Elephas maximus indicus: one gene and its partner. The protein of the gene in region 1 purifies or fractionates together with the protein of each later gene. This does not show direct contact. Links are inferred from orthologs where the notes say so. Each region holds a gene or a part of one and is shown in the gene's direction. Other genes may lie near its edges.

Region 1 (10,089 bases):
GCTGAAAGTGAAGAAGACTTGAAGCACTTACTGATGAAGATTAAAGGCCACAGCCTTCACTGTGGATTACATCTCAACAAAAAGAAAACAAAAATCCTCACAACTGGACAAATAAGCAACATCATGATAAATGGAGAAAATACTGAGGTTGTCAAGGATTTCATTTTACTTGGATCCACAATCAACACGCATGGAAGCAGCAGTCAAGAAATCAAAAGACGGATTGCACTGGGCAAATAGGCTGCAAAAGACCTCTTTAAAGTGTTGGAAAGCAAAGATGTCACCTTGAGGAATAAGGTGTGCCTGACCCAAGCCACTATGTTTTCGATCGTCTCATATGCATGCGAAAGCCAGACGATGAATAAGGAAGACCAAAGAAGAATTGATGCCTTTGAATCGTGGTATTGGTGAAGAATATCGAATATACCATGGACTGCCAAAAGAATGACAAAGTCTGTCTTGGAAGAAGTGCATCCAGAATGCTTCTTAGAAGCAAGGATGGCAAAACTATGTCTTATGTACTTTGGACATATTATGAGGAGGGATCAGTCCCTGGAAAAAGATGTCATGCTTGGTAAAATAGAGGATCAGTGAAAAAGAGGAAGACCCTCAACGAGATGGATTGACATAGTGACTGCAACAATGGGCTCAAGCATAACTACAAGTGTAAGGACGGTGCGGAACCAGGCAGTGTTTCGTTCTGTTGTGCAAAGTGTCGCTATAAGTTGGAACAAACTTGAGGATACCTAACAACAGCAGAACCTTTGAACTTTAAGGGTGATGGGAAGTACCTCCATGAAGAACTGCCTCCCTTACCATGAGACCAGAGCTAGATGGTGTCTGGCTACCACTACTGAACATTTTGATCAAAGATTCTCTAGAAGAATCCTGATCAGAAGGGGGAAAATATAGAACAGAATCTCAAATTCTCATGGACTCCAGACTTTCTGGAGCCTTGGAGGCTGGCTGAACCTTGAAACTACTGCCCTAAAATAATCTTTAAACCTTAAGCCAAAAACATCCCCTGAAGTCTTCTTAAAACCAAAATATAGTTTAATTTAACTAGTAAAGGATGTCTGCCTTGAGCATTGTGCTCTTCTAAGATCTATCTATGTGGGATCAAATTAACAACAGTAACACAAAAGATTAGATCAGAAACTTAGGAGACAGTGAGTTTATGTTAGTGGGGGAGGAACATCTCAGAAAAGGAGGGTGAGGATGTTTACACAACTCAAAGAATATAATCAATGTCACTGAATTGTACATGTAGAAATTGTTGAATTAGTATATGTTCTGCTGTGTACATGCTCAACAAAAAAAATAAAATGAATTACTAAAAAAATAGAGATGGGAAGTGTGGGAAGGAAATCATGATTAGATTCGTGTGCTGAAAAGCTCACTTTGGCTTCTATTAGAGAACAGTTTGCTAGAGAGCAGAGCCAGAAGGGAGGCTGGGAGCCCTGTTAAGAGCATATTGTCATAATCCAAGCAAGAGATAACGTAAACCGGGACAGCATGTGTGCAGGCAAGAGGGAAAAAGGAGATGGACTGAAGAGTCTCTGGACTAATGAGAACGAGGGAGAGGAAGATGCCTAGGGTGGGGCTTTTCCAGCTGAGTGGAAACGGATGAACAGCTCGTGAGGTATCCCAGCGCAGACGTCAGGTAGGTGGTTGTGGAGGCCACTTATCTTTGAGACAGTTTGACTTTTGTAAACAGGCGACCTCACGGAGCTATTCTGAGAATTCAGCGCAGGGTATGCGGTACATGCTCCACAGACATTAGTCCTTTACCCTACTCACGATCCTAACAGCTTACTGCGGATTCAGCGGTGGTCAGAGCCAGGACCTGTTTAGCTCCAGGTCCTGCCCCTTTGGCCCCTTGCGCCACCCTCTACCTTAGCACGTTTCCTGACTCATAGATGCTCAGTATTTGTAAGATGGGAGGAATGAAAATAGGCCCCTTGTGTCTCAGGGTACATGTGCTCGGCTGAAAACTGAGGCTAAACCAGACTCTTGGCTGACCGACAAATTAAAATAATTTTTTAAAAAGTGGGCGTGATTTACAATAGCAAAAAGTTGGAAGCAACCAAGGTGTCCATCAACGGATGAATGGGTAAATAAATTGTGGTATATTCACACAATGGAATACTATGCATCGATAAAGAACAGTGACGAATCTGTGAAACATTTCATAACATGGAGGAACCTGGAAGGCATTATGCTGAGCGAAATTAGTCAGAGGCAAAAGGACAAATATTGTATAAGACCACTATTATAAAATCTTGAGAAATAGTAAACCTGAGAAGAACACATACTTTTGTGGTTACGAGGGGGGGAGGGAGGGAGGGTGGGAGAGGGTTTTTTATTGATTAATCAGTAGATAAGAACTGCTTTAGGTGAAGGGAAAGACAACACTCAATACATGGAAGGTCAGCTCAATTGGACTGGACCAAAAGCAAAGAAGTTTCCGGGATAAAATGAATGCTTCAAAGGTCAGCGGAGCAAGCGCAAGGGTCTGGGGAACATGGTTTGCGGGGACTTCTAAGTCAATTGGCAAAATAATTCTATTATGAAATCATTCTGCATCCCACTTTGAAATGTGGCGTCTGGGGTCTTAAATGCTAACAAGCGGCCATCTAAGATGCATCAATTGGTCTCAACCCACCTGGAGCAAAGGAAAATGAAGAACACCAAGGCCACACAACAACTAAGAGCCCAAGAGACAGAAAGGGCCACATGAACCAGAGACCTACATCATCCTGAGACCAGAAGAACTAGTTGGTGCCCGGCCACAATCGATGACTGCCCTGACAGGGAGCACAGCAGAGGACCCCTGAGGGAGCAGGAGATCAGTGGGATGCAGACCCCAAATTCTCATAAAAAGGGAATCCCGGCGGCCATGCTCCCCAGACCTTCTGTTGGCACAGGACAGGAACCATCCCCGAAGACAACTCATCAGACATGAAAGGGACTGGTCAGCGGGTGGGAGAGAGACGCTGATGAAGAGTAAGCTAATTATATCAGGTGGACACTTGAGATTGTGTTGGCAACTCTTGTCTGGAGGGGGGATGGGAGGATAGAGAGAGAGGGAAGCTGGCAAAATTGTCAAGAAAGGAGAGACTGAAAGGGCTGACTCAAGAGGGGGAGAGCAAGTGGGAGTAGGGAGTGAGATGTATGTAAACTTATATGTGACAGACTGATTGGATTTGTAAACGTTCACTTGAAGCTTAATAAAAGTTATAAAAAAAAAAAAAAGTGGGCGTGAAATAATCCACAAGTTGGAAACCTTGGACAAAGGCTAAGGAGGTCCTCCCGCCAGACGCCTCAGGATTAGGTTATCGAGCAAGCTGGCGCCGGTGCGAGCTCTGGATCACGCACCGCCAAAGGATTCGCAGCTCCGCGCTTCCCAGGCTCCAAAGAAACGCCGGAGCGGGCTACCAGCTCGGCCTGGCCGGGTCCCGCCGCGGCCTTTAAAGGCCCACCACGTGGCCGCTGCGCCAGCCCGGGTCCGGAGGCGGAGCCCCCGCGGCGCCTGCGCACTGCCTAACGGGTGGGGTGGGGGGATCCGGGGTTCCGAGAAAAGGCGCCGGGTGAGGAAAGGAAGATAGCGCTGGGTGGGCGGCCATGGGAGGAGCCGGCTCCATATGCAAATCACAGCGCCGCGCGAGGACTAGAGGCGTGGCTTGCGATTCCGAGCCGGGTCCGCCTTTCGAATCGCGAGGGGCGGGCCCTACAACCCTCGGCCTCTTTCCGCGAGTCCCTGACGTCGCGGACGTCCCGTTTAAAAGCGGCCGCGCAGGCGCAGTGAGCCGAAATGCGAACTTAGACTGTTACACAACTGCTGGGGTCTGCTCTCGCCGCCTGCCCGGCAGTCAGTCAGCTTCGTTGCCGCTGTCGCCGCCTCAGCGGTTCCGGGAGTCTCAGGCCCGCCGCTGTCGCTGCTTATCCGCGCCTCTGGGAGCCTCCGGGAGCTTCCGCGAGCCCCCCGTCTGTCAGCACAGCCGGTCCTGACCGCCTGCGTCTCCTCCGCACCCCTCGCCGCCTGCCGCGCTCGCCGCTCCGGCCGACATGAGTGGGGACCATCTCCACAACGATTCCCAGGTACGGCCCGGCCCGAGCCTCGCGGCCCCCAGACGCCGCCTGGCCCTCCCGCGACCCCCGGCACAGGCCCCGACACGGCTCGGCCGCTTTGACAGGCCGGAGTCCCCGGCGAGGGGCCGCCTGCCGGGGGAGATTGGCTGGCTAGGCCGCGGGTGGAAGCCGTGAAGTTACAGTTCAGGGGGGATGGCTGCCCTCGTAGGCCGTTCCCGGGGCCCCATCGTCCCGGGCGGCACGGGGGGCTAAGCCCCCGGCCGCGCGCGTTCGCCGCCCGGAGTGGGGGGATCAACTTGCCTGTCGTTTCATATTTCCTCCTTTTCTTTCTCCAGATCGAAGCGGATTTCCGATTGAATGGTGAGTGTGCCCCAGCCCCTCGACCCTGCCCCGACCCTGGGCCCCCAGCTGCCGGCCGGCTACCCCGCGCCCGGCCCGAGCCGGGCAGAGGACAGACATGGCGTCCCAGAGACTAAGTCCCGGCTCCGAGCTCACCGGCCCCATTGTTCCCATCGGGCCGCCTCTGGACCCCCTTTCCAGGGACCCAAGCCCCCCCAGATCGCGGGCCTCCGAAGAGGGGGTAACGGAGACCCCGTATCGCCCGTCGCCCGGCGTCGGGGAGCTTCTCCGGGCCCGGATTCCTCCCGGGAAAGTCGCCTTGTCGACGGTCGGGACTTAGTCTCTGCGCCATTTTCTTTTTCTCTCTCCTCTCCTTTCTGTGCCTGTGTCTCTTTCTCTCCCTCCCTCGGCTCCTTCCTTGGGCTGCCCAGAAAGAGCTTTCTGCAGAGCAAAGCCTTATAAATCACAGACCCCACTAGGGAAGGAAGGGTGGGAGATGGAATTATTATTATTTTTTTCCAGTTAGAACTTTATTTTGGTGTTCCCTTTCTGCGGCTTGTTTGTTCCCTTTCTGTTTCCAGAATGAAAGATTCCCTTCGCAACTGTTGATTTTTTTTTTTTTTTCGGTAAGATGTTTATGATAGGAATTATGGCGCTGAAACTAACGCTGCTCTTTGTGGAATTCTTCATATTTCAAGATTTTGTTTGTTGTAAAGGTAGTAGTAGCTCCCTTCAAAAAGTTTGCAAGTTCTCTCTAGGCCACCCAGTGTAAATGTTGGACTCTGGCATGTTGATTTTTTGAAAAAATTAGAGCATTCGGGTCTGGAACTTTTCACTGTGACTGAGGTTCCTAAGGCAGTTTTTCCTAGAAATGTAGTTTAGTGTACTTGTTATGAGGAAAGGTTACTGAGCATCTCATCTGGACCTGGTGTATGGGCCTTTTCATTTGGACTGTGGGGAAGGAAAAGATTTTATTTATCGGAAGAAAAAGTGGCCAGCACCTACCCCTGCTTCTTGTTCATTTTTCAGAACCCACTGGTTTCCAGATACCAAGAGCCAGCTTGCTTTTCCCAGACTTTCATGTTTTTGAACTCTTTGCAGCCAAATTAAGACATTTATTTTTCAAGTATTTCTTCAGTTACCCAGCGTAGATTCTCCAATAAAAAAGCTCACCCTTGCAGGCATTCCAACAATCCTTTCGAAGGAGAAGATAGTATTCCTTTGTAGTGTGCTGGGAATTCCCACTGATTCTGATGGTACATAATCCTGCTTAGTTGAGTTTGGGTTCCGGGAACCTCTCCAATGGGAGAAGCTGATGAAGAGGTTTTCTGATGTTGTAATAAGCAGTGCAGTCCATCATGTCAGCCTGCTCTTCTGAGAGCAGTCTTACGTTCAGAATTTGAAGCAGAGCATCCAGCAAGAGATGGCACTCCACTAGGAGAGAATCCAGTTGAAGTGTAGCATTTCTTGAGCATCTGATATGTGCTAAGCCCTGTGCTTAGTGTTAGAGCTGAACCTTCTTCCACCACAACACTACTCTTGCCTTCACATAATTCATATAATTCAGTCTATTGGAGGAGACATAAATAGTTAATTATAAGGTAGGTGCTGGGGCATATTTACACTCAAAAGGTGTTGGGAGCATAGGGGACTTAATTTTGTCAGGGGGTGGGGAAATTTTGGAGGAGGTGATGTCTGAGCTGGGTCTTGTGCGAGACTAGGTCCTGAGAGAATTGTCAGTGGTTGGAGTGTTTCTTAACTACCCGTTTAGCCAACCTGTCAGGTTTTTAAAAGAGGGAGGAGATAGGGCCCCTGCAGTCCAGACAGTCCCAAGGCATGTTTCTTTGGGATGTGGGAGCAAAGAAAGAATGTGGCAGGTGAGGATGTAGGAAGTCCTTTTGACCTCCCGTGGAGAAAGGTAGCATTTTAATAAATTAATAAAGTACGCTTGTGACTTTTCAGGCGGGGCTGAGTAGGTAGTGTATTTAGTAATGAAAAACAGCCAGCCCTTTATCCTCATGAGTAAGTGAACCTCCATAGTTCTTAACCTAAATTCTACGAAGGAACTATTGAATATGTAGAGCATTAGTGGGCTGGAAAGGTTTTTGATCCTTACTGCCGTTTTTATAGAGAATGGAATGAACTGGCCATGTAGACTTTCGGAAAGCATATGTACACATGTAATAGCAGTAATAGCTAATATTTATTGAACAGTTACTATCTGTCAGATACAATTCTCAGCTCTTTCCATGCATTATCTGGTTTAATCCTTGGAAGAATCTTTATGAGTTAGGTACTATTTACCTACATATTATAGATGAGGAAGGTGAGGCTTAGGTATGTTTACTAGCTTGCCCAAGGGCAGCAAGTTGTGAACTCCAAAGCCCGTGAGTTTAGCCACTGTACTGTAGAACTGGTTCTAGTATGAAGAAATTAAAAGCTGCACATCTTTACTTAAAGGGGTCTAAAAGAAAAAAAGGGAAGGATTTGGTACTTTGTCATTTGCTTATTTTTTAGCTAAATGTGTTCCTTCAAGAGAAGAAACACTTTCACTGTCTTTACTTTCTCCTCAGAAGAATGTTATTCCTGGAGTAATTATCTTTTTGAATATTATCTAGAAGAAAGATGTGTTAGTAACTGTGTGCATGCTCTATCAAGTTGTATACTGGTAACTAGTGATTGATTTATTTAACTATGATAAGACAGTTTCTAAAAAAAAAATCAATGTTTAATTGTGTTCAGACATGTCATTATTGATTTTTGTATTAAGAGGAGTTTGCTTAAGCATGATTTTGAGTGGGCGTAGCCCGTATTACAGGTTAAATGTGCAAGTTCATGTATTAAAATCAAACATCCTTTATCTTGCCTGCCCTCAGCCCCTTAAGTCTAAGAGACTTGTTTTTCCTTTGGAGCCTATACTTTACAATAGTATGTAGTTAGTTGCAGTTAATATGGAATTTAGAACATTCTGGCCCATACTCAACTGCTGGGAAAATCTGCTTTTTGTGAAATATATTTGTAATACTGAGAGTGAGCTGGGAATTTCAGGAGCAGAGCTGTAACTTCTCTCTTACCTAGATGAAAAGACTTCCTTTGTAAGTGTTGGTAGCACTAACTGTAGTGGGTCTAAAGGCACGATTACAATAAGTATAGGCTGCTTGGTGTATCTGTAGAGTTGGTAGTGGTAACATCAGGCTGGGTGTTAGTGATCCTTTTGTTGTTTCCAGGACTTGAAGTTGGGGAGCTCCCTGCCCCCCAGCACTGCTCATCAGTAATATGTTGATTCACTGGTATGAGTGAATCCTTCACTTCCTCAGTGATTATTCCAGGAAGTGTTACTGGTTCATGGTTTGACATCTTGTGTTGGTTCTAGTTAGCTTGATGGATTTAAATTCGATGAGTGGACTAAGTATGAATTGTTTCTGATGCTAACAGGTAGTTGTACTTTTGTGCTGTTGGGCACAGGTTGAGGGTGGGAAGGCTGATGATGTGATTTGAAAATTCCTATCATATTTTTAAAACTGAAGAGCGATGGCACCTCCCGAAGAAATGTGGCACATCTTCAGACCCAGTCCAGAAACATTTAAGCGTTCGGCTTCACTGTTGTCTTTTCCTTCCACTGCAGCCAGATTCCTTGGGGCACCTTTTCAGGATTAGTGAGCTGCTGTAGAATATATTATACTTTGCAGTGAAACACGATTACCTGTCAATACGTGCTTTTTAGATGACTAGCAGATCTCAAAGTTCTCTCAGATCTCACAAACAAATTTTAGACTAAGATCTTCTGGTAAAACCAAGTCCAGGAGTTACTCCAAAGGAATCAGAAGTACCTCGTGGTCTGAAAGGTGAAAACTAGATATTACTGTCACCAACTCCTAATTTTCTTTGGTCAGTGGGTAAGGTAAAATGGAAAATAGGAACCCAGGGTCAGTACCCTAATCTCATTTTAACCAATAGTAGCGGGGAGGAGGGGAGGTTGAGTCTGACTTTTTTTCCTCACTGTCAGCGTAAAAATGGGGAATTGTATTTGAAAGAGAGATTCATTAATTTGCCCTGGGGCATAGTAAATTAGTACCCGTCTATATGAGTGCCAGGGTTTATTTTAACTAACATTTTAAAGCTTATATTCCAAAATTGGGCTGTGGTATTAACTGACAGTTTTTGTTTGTTTTCAATGGGGTGGGAGGGGAGGGTGATGCATAAAAATGTCTGACTTTTGAGCCTGTAAATGTGTTAGAAAAACTTTATACATGTTACATATCACTTACAATAATGGTTCTCTGCTGCCGCTAATAGGATGCGAAATTATTTTGTACTTTCTGGGTGTTTTTAATTTTTGGAGCCTTCAGATGATACTGACGTGTGAGTGCGTATGTATTTTACAGATGTTTAATAACTTTTGCCATACGTACAGTCAGTAAAGTTCAAATTCCCTTTGATAAATGAATTTACATGTAATTATTTTCTTTTGAATGTGGCTATAGGAATGCTTCAAAGGAGTATTTGGCGGGGTGGGGGGGGGCCCTGAAAGAAATAAGGAACAGTAAAGTATAGTCAATTTGTTGCATTTGGAGGTAGACAAGAGTCACTTTAGTGAATTTTCTGTGTCCTGTGATTTAGATTATTTGACTGTCCCTTTATTATTTTGAAACCATTAGTTTTGCATAATAAGGGCATTTGGGCAAACGGAATTTGATTTCTTAAGGTGAAAGGTTTAGGATGGGCCAAGTTCCAGGCTTGCCCCTGAAGAAGTGGGGTATTGTGTTAAAAGAAAGCTTTCAGATTGTATTTAAACTTGAAGTAGTAATATTTGGAACAAGTGTTTTCTCCCTGTTTCCTTGCCTTGTAAATTTGCAGTTAGAGAAGCAGTTTTCCGTCCTCATGGCTCCAAGCCAGTAACTGTAGTAGGAAATCTAAAATAGAGGCTGTTGGCATGGAAAAATTAGCATTTTGCTGGCCCTTTCTCCTCCCCCGCTTGGTCTGAGTAGGTGCAGGCGGTGTGCCCGCTGTTGATAGCCTAGGCTAGGGCCTCGGTACCGTGGAGAAGGAGGGCTGGCAAGGTGGCCAGCAGCTTGATGAGGTGGGAAAAGCTTATATATAGCTGAATATCTGTTAGATATTAATGGTATTTTTGATAGTGTTCTAGGAAATGGATGTTTGCTGAAATGATTTCACAGCAACTACATGTTGTTGAACATAATTTTTATTCTATGTGTTTAATATCTTAAATACTTTTCAAACTCACAGAGGTGACATTGCTGATATCTGGGGTATACTGAAGATTGTAATATCATCAAGCAAGGCCATCCATATCAAAGCGTATATTCAGTGTCTTTATCTGTATCTGAGTATCATTTATGTGTCCAAATTTTAATAAAGGAAGAAACTCCAGGGGGAGATAGGCAACTTTAGTTGTAATTTCTTTTTGGTAGTTATTTATTTTTGATTGTTCTCCTAAGTTTTCAGATCCTTTCACTTATTTCCCTGCTACCTTTACCTTTATGTATTGTACTTGAGAATTTTTCTGAAATGTGTGTGAGTCAGAATGGACTTGACAGCACACAACAACAATATAGTTAATATTTTTATTTACGTCTCCTTTCTGCTCCTCCCTATCAGATTTGTGGTGGGGCTGTGTCATTACCAGTTCTTTAGTGC
Region 2 (10,089 bases), on another chromosome or scaffold:
ATTACCACCAAGAAAGAAGAGCCGGGAGTGGAGCGTGTCCTTTGGACCCATGGTCCCTGCACTGAGAACCTTCTAGACCCAGGGGAAGATTGATGCCAAGACACATGGGGATTTCCAAGGAACGCCATGCCCACAGATGTTGAAAGGACACAAAGACCTTCCCCCAGAACCAACAGAGAGAGAAAGCCTTCCCCTAGAGCTGGTGCCCTGAATTCCAACTTCTAGCCTCCTAAAGTGTGAGAGAATAAATTTCTCTTTGTTAAAGCCATCCACTTGTGGTATTTCTGTTATAGCAGCACCAGATAACTAAGACAAACACACTCTTGTCCAAAGATCCTCCCCTCTTTGTATCCACAACATTAACTCAAGTGCCTGGCCTACACTAGGTACTCAGTTATTCTTTGTCAAATAAAGTTATGAATGGTAACTCTTAGAAAAATACCTTTTATTTGTTTATTGTTACTATGTTTATTTAACTAATAATAATGGTTAATATAGGCACATAGTAAAAAAATCCAAGCAATACAAATTGCTTGACAAAAAATTATATCTTTCCAGAAATAATCTATGTATATTTTACTTCTAACCTCAAACTATATTTTGAACGACAATACTAATTGAATATTGGTAAAGAGATGTATGCCTTTAAAACAGCTTTTGTGTGTATTATCTCACTTGATGTAATAAATTCCATGAACTATAAAGGATAGAGCAGGATAAAGCTTATTTGAAGATATGGACATTGAAGCTAAAAATAGTCTCAAAGGGTTTCAAAGTAAAAAAAAAAAAAAAAACACTTCGTTAGATACACCAATCCAGAGCTATTTCTCCAACACCTTCTATTTTCCTAAAAAAAAAATCTTGCTTATCATAGAATCACCTGACCAATCCGTCAAAGTCTCCTCAGAACCAGAACTTAGTTTCAGAACATACCTCCTCAAATATCCTTCTGATTCTTGTGGTGTGTTGAATTAATGTTCACATCCCATATTACAATTCCTTGGTAATAGAGTTCTGGAGTAGCACCATTGCAAGGCTTTCTTTGGTTCTAATGAAGTAGTGTCTATGACACTAGTGCTATAGTGTCATGGTCTCTACACTCAGCTCTGTCCTTCGGGCCAGTGAAAAGGCTCTGTCTGAGTCCTACTCAGGCACACTGTCATTTCCTCTTAAGGTATTCCAAACCTTCATGACTCTCAAATTTCTTAACCCACCATCTTGTCCTCACTCTTTCCAAACAAGCCAGCCTCCTCATTAATGGAAGGAATTACCTCAACTTCCTTCCTGCCTTGACCCTTTTTCCCTCTTCAGATCTGTCTTTATCCAAATTTATGACGTCCCTGTGCATTGGATTCCATTTCTTATACCTTTCAGGACCTCAGGTCCTATTTCTCTTTTGTCTCTTCTAACTGTTCTTTCACTTCACCTGGCATGTTCCTTCATTGTATGTGTGTCCTCAGGTCTCTTCCACCTTCCATCTGCTTCCCTTCACCGTATATCACCTTGAGCTTTGACGGCCAAACTATGAAAGAATAGTCTACACCAGGTGTCCCCACTTCCTTGCTGTCACATTCACTCCTGGATTTCCTTCTGACTCTGAGTAGCCCTTGTCAGCTTCTTTTGCAGAAGCTTCTTTTTCCAGCTTCTCACTGTATATTCCAGTGAATTACGTCCAGTTTTCCTAAACTTCTATGCCTTTGCATCTGTTCTTGCCTCTGCCAGGAACATCTTTCTCCATCTTTCCTTTCCATCTTTACACTCCCATGCTTTTCTTCAAGTTGGGGTTAGCTCTCATACTGTCCAGGAAGCCTTTCACCTAAGCCACCAGGATGAATTTGGCTCCCTTTTCATTTTCTTGTGTCACCCTCTGCTTCCCTTTGCTCTTGTAAGTGCTTTACATATTATGTCCCATTTAATTCACACAACCACCATTTGAGGCAAGCATGATTATCATCCCCATTTTAGAGATGAGGATACTGAGCACCAAAGACATTAAATAATTTGTTCAGTTAGAAAACTAATAGGTGGAAATATCTAGGTTTAAATCTAGGCAATTTGACTGTAGGGTTGAATTTAACCACCTATGCTCTACTGTTAGCCTCTGAGCTTGTTGGATGAATAAATAAGTAGTAATTTATGTTCTATTTTTTTCTTAAAAGACTGATCAGATTTGAGACAGGTTTAAATTTCATAATATAGATTTTCAAGACTGCCAAGACAGCAGAAATGGAGACCATGGCATTCTCAGGGAAGAGGAGAGGTAAGTGTAAGGTTAATAATAATAACAAACTTTAGAACTTAGAAAGCTCTTTGACATCTATCATCTTGTTCCATGCACCCAAGAAATATATCATGATCCCATTTTACAGATAAGAAATCTGAGGCTGGCAGAACCAGCACCAAGATCCCTGGCTTTATAGTTTATTTCTTCTGGAGTTTTACCCCTCAGGTCTGAACTGATATGAGTAAGTAAACTGGGAGTATGGAAGGTTTTTTAAGGAAAAAAAAAACTGGAAGAGCTTTCACAGTATTATTATTTATTTACACAGATTTATGATAGATACAGGACCAATTTCCAGAAAAGGGCCACACCCAAGAATGCCACAGTCTTTCAGGAGCTCCGATGCAAGTGCCTGAGCTAGTGAACACACATCTAAAACCTGCTGTTGGTATTTCCAAAGCATCAACCTCTATGTCTGTATATAATTCATCCAAGAAATATTTTTGTGTTTCCATCTCATGCTTCCTTCTCCAATACATTGCCTTCTCACAAGAGCTAAAGGGATTCTTGACGTGGCAGTCCATAGTTGAGTTTTAGATGAATACCTGAATTCCCTGAAAGTTTTATTCAGAAATATACTTGCCAGTGAACACACTTGGTTTGAGGTTGGTTGGTTTTCATTGCATACTTTATTTATTTTTTTGAGGATAATGTCTGTAGCTTTCAAGAGATTCTCAAACGGAAGATTAAGAACCATTATATTAGTGATGGAAGCAAATTTTGATATTGGTCTAAAAGCCAGGCATAATTACAAGGGAAATCTGTTCCATCTCTCCCATCACAGCCATATTGCCCCCCTCCCATCATAAAATGTAAAAGGAGCCCTGGTGGCACAGTGCTTAATCACTCAGCTGCTAACCAAAGATGTGGCAGTCTGCTTTGGTAAAGATTCACAGCCTTGGGAATTCTGGCAGTTCTCATAGTCACTATAAGTCAGAATCCACTTGACCGCAACAGGTTTTACCATAAAAAGTCTTAAGCTAACTTAAAAAGAATATTAGATTCCTTATCCATAGTTTGAATTGTTCAAACCATTGCTGCCCAGTATTTGAGAGGTGCCTGGAGGAAAATATAGAAGGCACAGTAGTAATACGTTATGGATTCTTATAAGAGATTTGACAATAAATGTTTAATTGGCATAATTTAAAAACTACATTTTGCCTGACCTAGCAACAACTGAAGGTACAGCAAGGTATTCTGGGGCTTAAGATAAGTCAGCTAAGGATTAAAACGTTAACTTTTAGACAGAGCCGGGTTACCTAGTAGTCAGACTCAGTATGTGCTCAAGGCACCAGCAGGTAACCCATACAATTTTTAAATGTAATATATATATTTTTAAGAGCATAAAAGTAATAATCACGGGAAAAATTAGAACTCTGTTGGATTTCCTTTCGCTTACTAAATTCCTTAGATGCACCATCATGTTTTCTGTGATTAAGGTCTTCTTGGTCTTCCTTCTCTTTTATATAATATTGATAATTCTATCCAAAATATTTTCTTCTCTCTGCCTCAGGAGATTGCAAGCAAATCCTCCAAATGGATAATTTGATAGCTAGCAGGTATTGTGTGCTTGGGATGTGTATCACTGTTCCAAATGCTATATGTAAATCAGGACATTAAAAATTCACAACAGCCCTGTGAAGTAAGTACTACTCTAAGTTCCCCTTTTTATAGCTAAGAAAAGGGCAAGGTATTTCTAGGAGGAAGGAGAGGTGTGGGACGCTGGAAGCAGACCCAGGAGGGGCCCCAGTACAGTGTATCTGAGCCTGTACCGTGATGCACTGTGTCAGTCTCTAGACAGCTGAGCACTTTCTCTGGTCTAGAAGGAACGCCTTATTAAGAATGGGGTCTGTCACCCGAATGACTTCCTCTCCACTTTCCTATCTGCTTATAGGTGGGACTCTTTCCAGTCCGTGTTAAATAGACCCTACCTTCAGAGCCAGCCCTAACTGGCATATCCTGTTCGTATATCTGGCGCTAGTAGGAGGCTTTGCTCACCTCTTGGAAACCCTCGCCCCAGCCACGTGGGTGGGGAGAGGGGAGCAGGCAACCGTTAGACTCTGAAAAAGGAATCTTTGAAGTACGTTTTCTGGAACCATAGGCTCAGAACGCTTAACCCAGGGAGTATCTGGGGAAGAGGGAGGTGTGATTCGGTGATCTAAAAGAAGGGTCGCCTCAGAGTCACAACACCGGGATTACCGATCCTCAGTGAGGCCCTTATTACGAGGAGAGGACAGCTTTGGCCAATTCATCCGAGTACTTACTATAGGGAGGAAGCAATACTTTGCCTATGATATCGAACGCTCAGGTTCGAGCTTGACAGTCAGAAATCCCTGCCCAGCTATCTAAATACTAGGAGAGTGTAGAGAGAAGGGAGGAACCTGGGAGAAATTCCGTTTAGCTTTAGTAGAGGGAACTCGCTTAGAGACTCCTGTGCTCTTCCGTTGGATCGGGGGAGGGGACAGCACCGTGAGGGTGGGGCGACAGGAGGACGGGGGCGGTAGGGGGGCGAGGAGGGGCGCAGGGCTCCCAGCTCCGGCGGCGTCCGCGTGCTCCGGGAGTGGACCGCTTCCGGGCAGGTCTCGCTTCTCGGGGAGCCGAAGGCCGTGCGGCCAGCCGCCGCGTGGGGCGACCTCGGGGCACCTCCGTGGCGTGCTCTAGTGTCCTTGGAGGACACCACGTGATCGGCGCCCCTAGAAGTGGAAAGACGCGGTGGCCCCGCCGGAGGGGTGGGGAGACCGATTCAGGGGGCCGCGGCGCGGGGGCTCGGGCAGCCGGTTTCCGCCCGCCCGGCGGAGGGAAGCGAGGGGCGGGCCAGTCACGAGAGGGCGGGCCGGGCGCTAGGCGGCGGCGGGAGGAAGGGGACGAGGGGACAAGGGAGCGAGGCGCGGGGAGCGGCATGGAGCCCACCGCCGACTCGCTGGCCACGGCGGCCGCCCGAGGCCGGGCCCGGGAGGTGCGGGCGCTGCTGCGGGCGGGGGCGCAGCCTAACGCGCCGAACCGCTACGGGCGCCGCCCGATCCAGGTAGGTAGCAGGTCCCGAGCGGGAGAAGGTGATGGCGGGCTGCTCGGGAGGACGACGGTTGCAGGGGAATGGGAACCGGGTGGCGTTTGGATTCTCGGAAAAGGGGCGATTTCCCGGGACGTTTTCAGAAAAGATTTTGGGGTCGGAGACCTCGTGACGACGCCCCGGGGCCTCGGGAAGCCCCGGAGGGAAGGAGGGGGCACTTGGGGTGCACATCTCTGGAGTGGTGTGACTATAAGAATCTGGCGGGGGGAACATATACATGTGTGTTCATATAAAAAAAAAAAAAAACCAACCCGTATAGACCGAGGTATATTCCAGATACAGAATCTATGAATGAGATAAAACGCGAGATTTTAAAGAAATGTAAGGTTCACTGGGACTATGTAGCCCCAAACTCACAGACCCCTGAATAAAGCTGATCACCTTCTTTCCTGGAGGGACTCCGCTGGAAACCTACTGGCACGTATGTTGGAATAAATGCCGACTGAAATTATTCAGAAACAACTGCATATCGTGTTGATTTTTATTTTAACTGAGTAGGGGGAAAATGTATTCATGTAAAGAACTTAGGACTGAGTAGGGAAACTGCTCGTTGTAAAAAAAATCTTACGACATCCAGGCCTATATAAAAAAAAAAATGTTTTTTAGTGTGATCTTGCCTAAGACAATATTTCCAATTTAGTTACCATCTTAAGAGTATTTGCTATTATTTTTGTCATTTTAACTTACTTGATATGGATTATTTTACTTGGGAGAGAGTTTTCAATTTTTCACTGCTGGAAGGTTCCATTTTTCTCCTCCCCCTCCCTTGTGTGTGAAGGGGGAGGGGGGACCAGGGAAGGTTGCATGTGTTTTTTCTTCACTAACTTCCTAAATATCATGCCAAAAAGTTAATTCTTGCTGGCGGTTACCAGCCTAATTTTATTCCCAGCGGCAACAACGATCTCTGATTCTGAAAAAGAGAATATGTGAAACAAATGCACATTGTAAAAGCTTCATAAGACAAAGGAAAGTAACTGCGTCAGACTTCATGAGTGAATCTTTCCTTCTTGAACCTATCCTACAAAGGATATATATTTTACACACTTTAAAGTACAGTGCAAAAAAAAAGTACAGATATAAGAATAAAATTAAAAATGCCTTAAAACTTGAGATTTTGGGGTCCTGAAATGGCAAGAGATCTTGAAACTAGAGGGGCTGGATAGTTGTAAAAGATAAGTATGAGTCCTTCAAAAAGAATGTTTGATTCGTAATTTAGCATCTCCAAGATTTTGCCAGCAACCTGGAGACTCGGAGTGATGGCCTTAGAGTCCTGGAATACGTTAGGCGAGACCTCATCTGTTTAGATACAGAAAGGAAAAAGAAAGTTGGATAATTACGATTTTTTTATACGGGGATAAGAACATAGAGAAAGGGGCCAAATGAGTTTGATGTAGAACTTCGACCGAATTGTTTTTTAATACAGAATATGTCATTTATAAAAATTCTTTTAAAACAACTAGATTCCAATAAATTGCTTAGCAAATGGATCTTAAGCATCCTACCAATATCGGTTTAATTGATTTGCCTTTTTTGTTTTTGGATTTTTTTTTTTAATATTTAAATGCCCAGTTGCTTTTCAGTTTTTTTCTTATGTTAAAATATAAGGAAAACATTCAAGACCAGTTTTTTTTTGTAGTCCAATTTATTAGGTTAAATTATTTGTGTAGATTTTTTTTAATAACATTTTATTGTGTTCTAGGTGAAAGCTTACACAGCGAATTAGGTCCTCCTTTAACAATGTTTATACAAATTGTTTCATGATACTGGTTACAATTTTCACAATGTATCAGCATTCACCTTATTTCCATTCTGTTTATTCTGTTTACATTGATCGAACTTCCCTTCCTCTCCTTGCCTTCTCATGTTTGCTTTTCAGTAAATGTTGACTGTTTGGTCTCATATAGTTAATTGTTTAAGGGAGCACATTACTCACAGGTGATATTGTTTATTTCATAAGCCAACCTATTTGACTGAAAGTGACCTGCAGAAATAACTGCATTTCCAACTTCAAAGGGTACCTTAGCCCCTGGGGGAGGGGGGACTCCTCTAGACTCTCCATCCAGTAGGTCCAGCCTTTTTTAAGAATTTGAATTTTGTTCTACATTTTTCCCCTGTTCTATCCAGGACCTTCTATTGTATTCCTGGTCACAATGGTTGGTAGCGTAGCCAGGGACCATTTAGTTCTTCTGGTCTCAGGTCAGAAAAAGCTGTAGTTCATGAGGGCTATTAGTTCTGTGGACTAGTTTCTTCTTTGAGCCTTTGATTCCTTCATTCTCTTTTGCTGCATAGAGGAGAGACCAATCATTTGTTTTTAGATTAAGACCAGTTTTATGACAAATGAATGACTTGATTTGGTTGGGTAAACAAAAACTGTGCTGCAATTTTTTTTTTGTGTGGCTGTAATTTGGTTCACATATATTTTCCCTCGTTCTTTTGAAAACTAAATTGGTTTCCCCACTTTTGGGGCAGAACTCAACACCTATAGTATAATTTATTATTTTTCCTCCCTTTGGGCAAATAAAAATAATTTATTTAATTGATACAAAACATAACTAAGTAATTTCTCTTTATACAGTCAGTATCCCCAAGCAAATATAACCAGATAATGGTTATTCTAAAAAGAATCCTCCACCAGCACCCATAACATGGCATCCCAATTCTAAGGCTGCTAAGGTGCACACCATTTTAAAATTCCCCTTTGGAAATTATTTTGTTTCAAAGATAATTTATGTACCAAAGAGACGAGCAGCTCCTGTAGGAGAGTATATGAGTTTCCCATTGCTGCTGTAACAAATTATCACAAATTTATGAACCAGAGAGAGGGGCAGCTCCTGTAGGAGAGTATGAGTTTCCCATTGCTGCTGTAACAAATTATCACAAACTTAGCAGCTTAAAGCTGCACGAGTTTATTAGCCTGCAGGTCTGGAGATGAGAAGTCTAAAATGGGCTCACAGAACGGTGTTCCTTTTAAATGCTCTAGGGGAGAGTCTGGCTCCTTGCCTTTTCCAGATTCTAGAAGCCCACCTATATTCCTTGGCTTGTAACGCATTCCGCTGTCTTCACAGTTGGCAGTGTAGCATCTGTCTCCTCTCTCATCTCTGCTTCCATCCTTATGTCTTCTGTCAGACTGTGACCCTTTCATAATGACACATCCGTGATGACACTGGGCCCACCTGATAAACCGGGATAATCTCCCCATCTCAAAATCTTTTACTTAATTATATCTGCCAAATTCTTTTTGACATGTAAAGTAATATATTCACAAATTTGGGAATTTGGACACAGACATTTGAGGGGGAAGCATTATTCAGCCTATCACACGAGACAAGCCCTCTCATTTTATACTTACAGTTTGAGCTCACAGCAAAAAATAAGTTCAAATTAAAAAAAAAAGTGTTGACAATTACCACGTTCTGGAAGTGCAGCGGGGAACCAAACAAAATCTCTCTGGTTTAGATAATTTCATCTCAAAATGAGAAAAAAAGACAGAATGGTTAGGCAGTGGTAAAAGCCAGCTTGGCCCTCACCATTTTGTTGTCTCTGCCTCTGGCGGTGTTCTCCTTGGGGCTGGAGCTCCGCAAAAGGTTGGAGAATATAATGCAGTGAAATGTGTATTGACAGGCAGAATGTGTAGAACTGGAAGAGGGGTGGTAACTGGGAGTAAAGAAAGAGTAACCAACACCTGTAACTTCTCCGCGCCTCTGCTTTGGGTGGCTATGATCTCGGGGCTTCGGGGCGTCGTAAATAAGTGTTTCTTTACATTAATCCTGCCCCCGCCGGTCGCCTTGACCGCTCTGCTCTCCCGGCAGGTCATGATGATGGGCAGCGCCCGTGTGGCGGAGCTGCTGCTGCTCCACGGCGCGGAGCCCAACTGCGCGGACCCCGCCACCCTCACCCGACCGGTGCACGACGCCGCGCGGGAGGGCTTCCTGGACACGCTGATGGTGCTGCATCGCGCCGGGGCGCGGCTGGACGTGCGCGACGCCTGGGGCCGCCTGCCCGTGGACCTGGCTGAGGAGCGGGGTCACCGCGACGTCTCCCTGTACCTGCGTGCGGCCGCGGGGGACACCGAAGGCGGCGACCGCGCCCATGGAGACGCCGCAGAGGGCTCAGCAGGTGAGGGCGGATGCCCAGGATCTAAAAATTCGAACCCTCAGAACTTCTGGAGCCCAGCGCGCTTTTCCAGAAGACAAAGTTTGGCCGGGAGGGGCAGGGTCTCGGGTCTCACCTCAGCTCACACACACAGCCAATCTGTGGCACAACCCGGGTTTCCCGGTCACGCCGCCAGGTCAGCGCTGCAGACGGGAAATAGCCATAGGTGGACGTCCGTACTTGAAAACCTTTCTCATGCCTCTCCCCACTCGCACACACATAGACACAACACCACCGCCCAAGCACACACCGCCCTCACCGCAGCTCAAGGCCTAGTCTGTGGAACGTTGACGAGCCAGGAGGCTACAGAGCTAGTGCCCCTCTCCCTCTAAACTAGCTGGTCAGTCTCATCCACTCACCGGGCCTCAGTTATCCCATCCGCATACCTAGGTGGCTGGACCAGTCCCAGGGTTCCCAAACCTATAGCGCGTGGCATCGTCTGCGGGAGATATGTCATGAGCCGGATTCCCGGCCTTTGGCCCAACTCTACCAAATCTGACTTCCGCTCTTTTCGGTGGAGGGTGGAGATGTCCAGCGCTCCCCAGGGCTTCTGAGCCGCAGCTGGGACCGAGCGCTTCCAGCCCTC

What was found. Proteins that work in one complex are often made in the same cells at the same time.
Region 2: the proteins of TOP1 (region 1) and cyclin-dependent kinase inhibitor 2A-like purify together in Homo sapiens (affinity purification with western blotting; 3 studies listed by BioGRID). This does not show direct contact. The link is inferred for Elephas maximus indicus from reciprocal best matches to the Homo sapiens genes TOP1 and CDKN2A.

What each region holds. Positions count from the first base shown.
Region 1 is NC_064843.1:28,407,505-28,417,593, reverse strand, and holds the start of TOP1 (DNA topoisomerase 1), read left to right. Parts: upstream 1-3,793; 5' UTR 3,794-4,068; coding exon 4,069-4,101; intron 4,102-4,427; coding exon 4,428-4,452; intron 4,453-10,089. UniProt on the Homo sapiens protein: Releases the supercoiling and torsional tension of DNA introduced during the DNA replication and transcription by transiently cleaving and rejoining one strand of the DNA duplex.
Region 2 is NC_064827.1:31,842,103-31,852,191, reverse strand, and holds the start of cyclin-dependent kinase inhibitor 2A-like, read left to right. Parts: upstream 1-5,155; 5' UTR 5,156-5,180; coding exon 5,181-5,306; intron 5,307-9,160; coding exon 9,161-9,467; intron 9,468-10,089. UniProt on the Homo sapiens protein: Acts as a negative regulator of the proliferation of normal cells by interacting strongly with CDK4 and CDK6. This inhibits their ability to interact with cyclins D and to phosphorylate the retinoblastoma protein.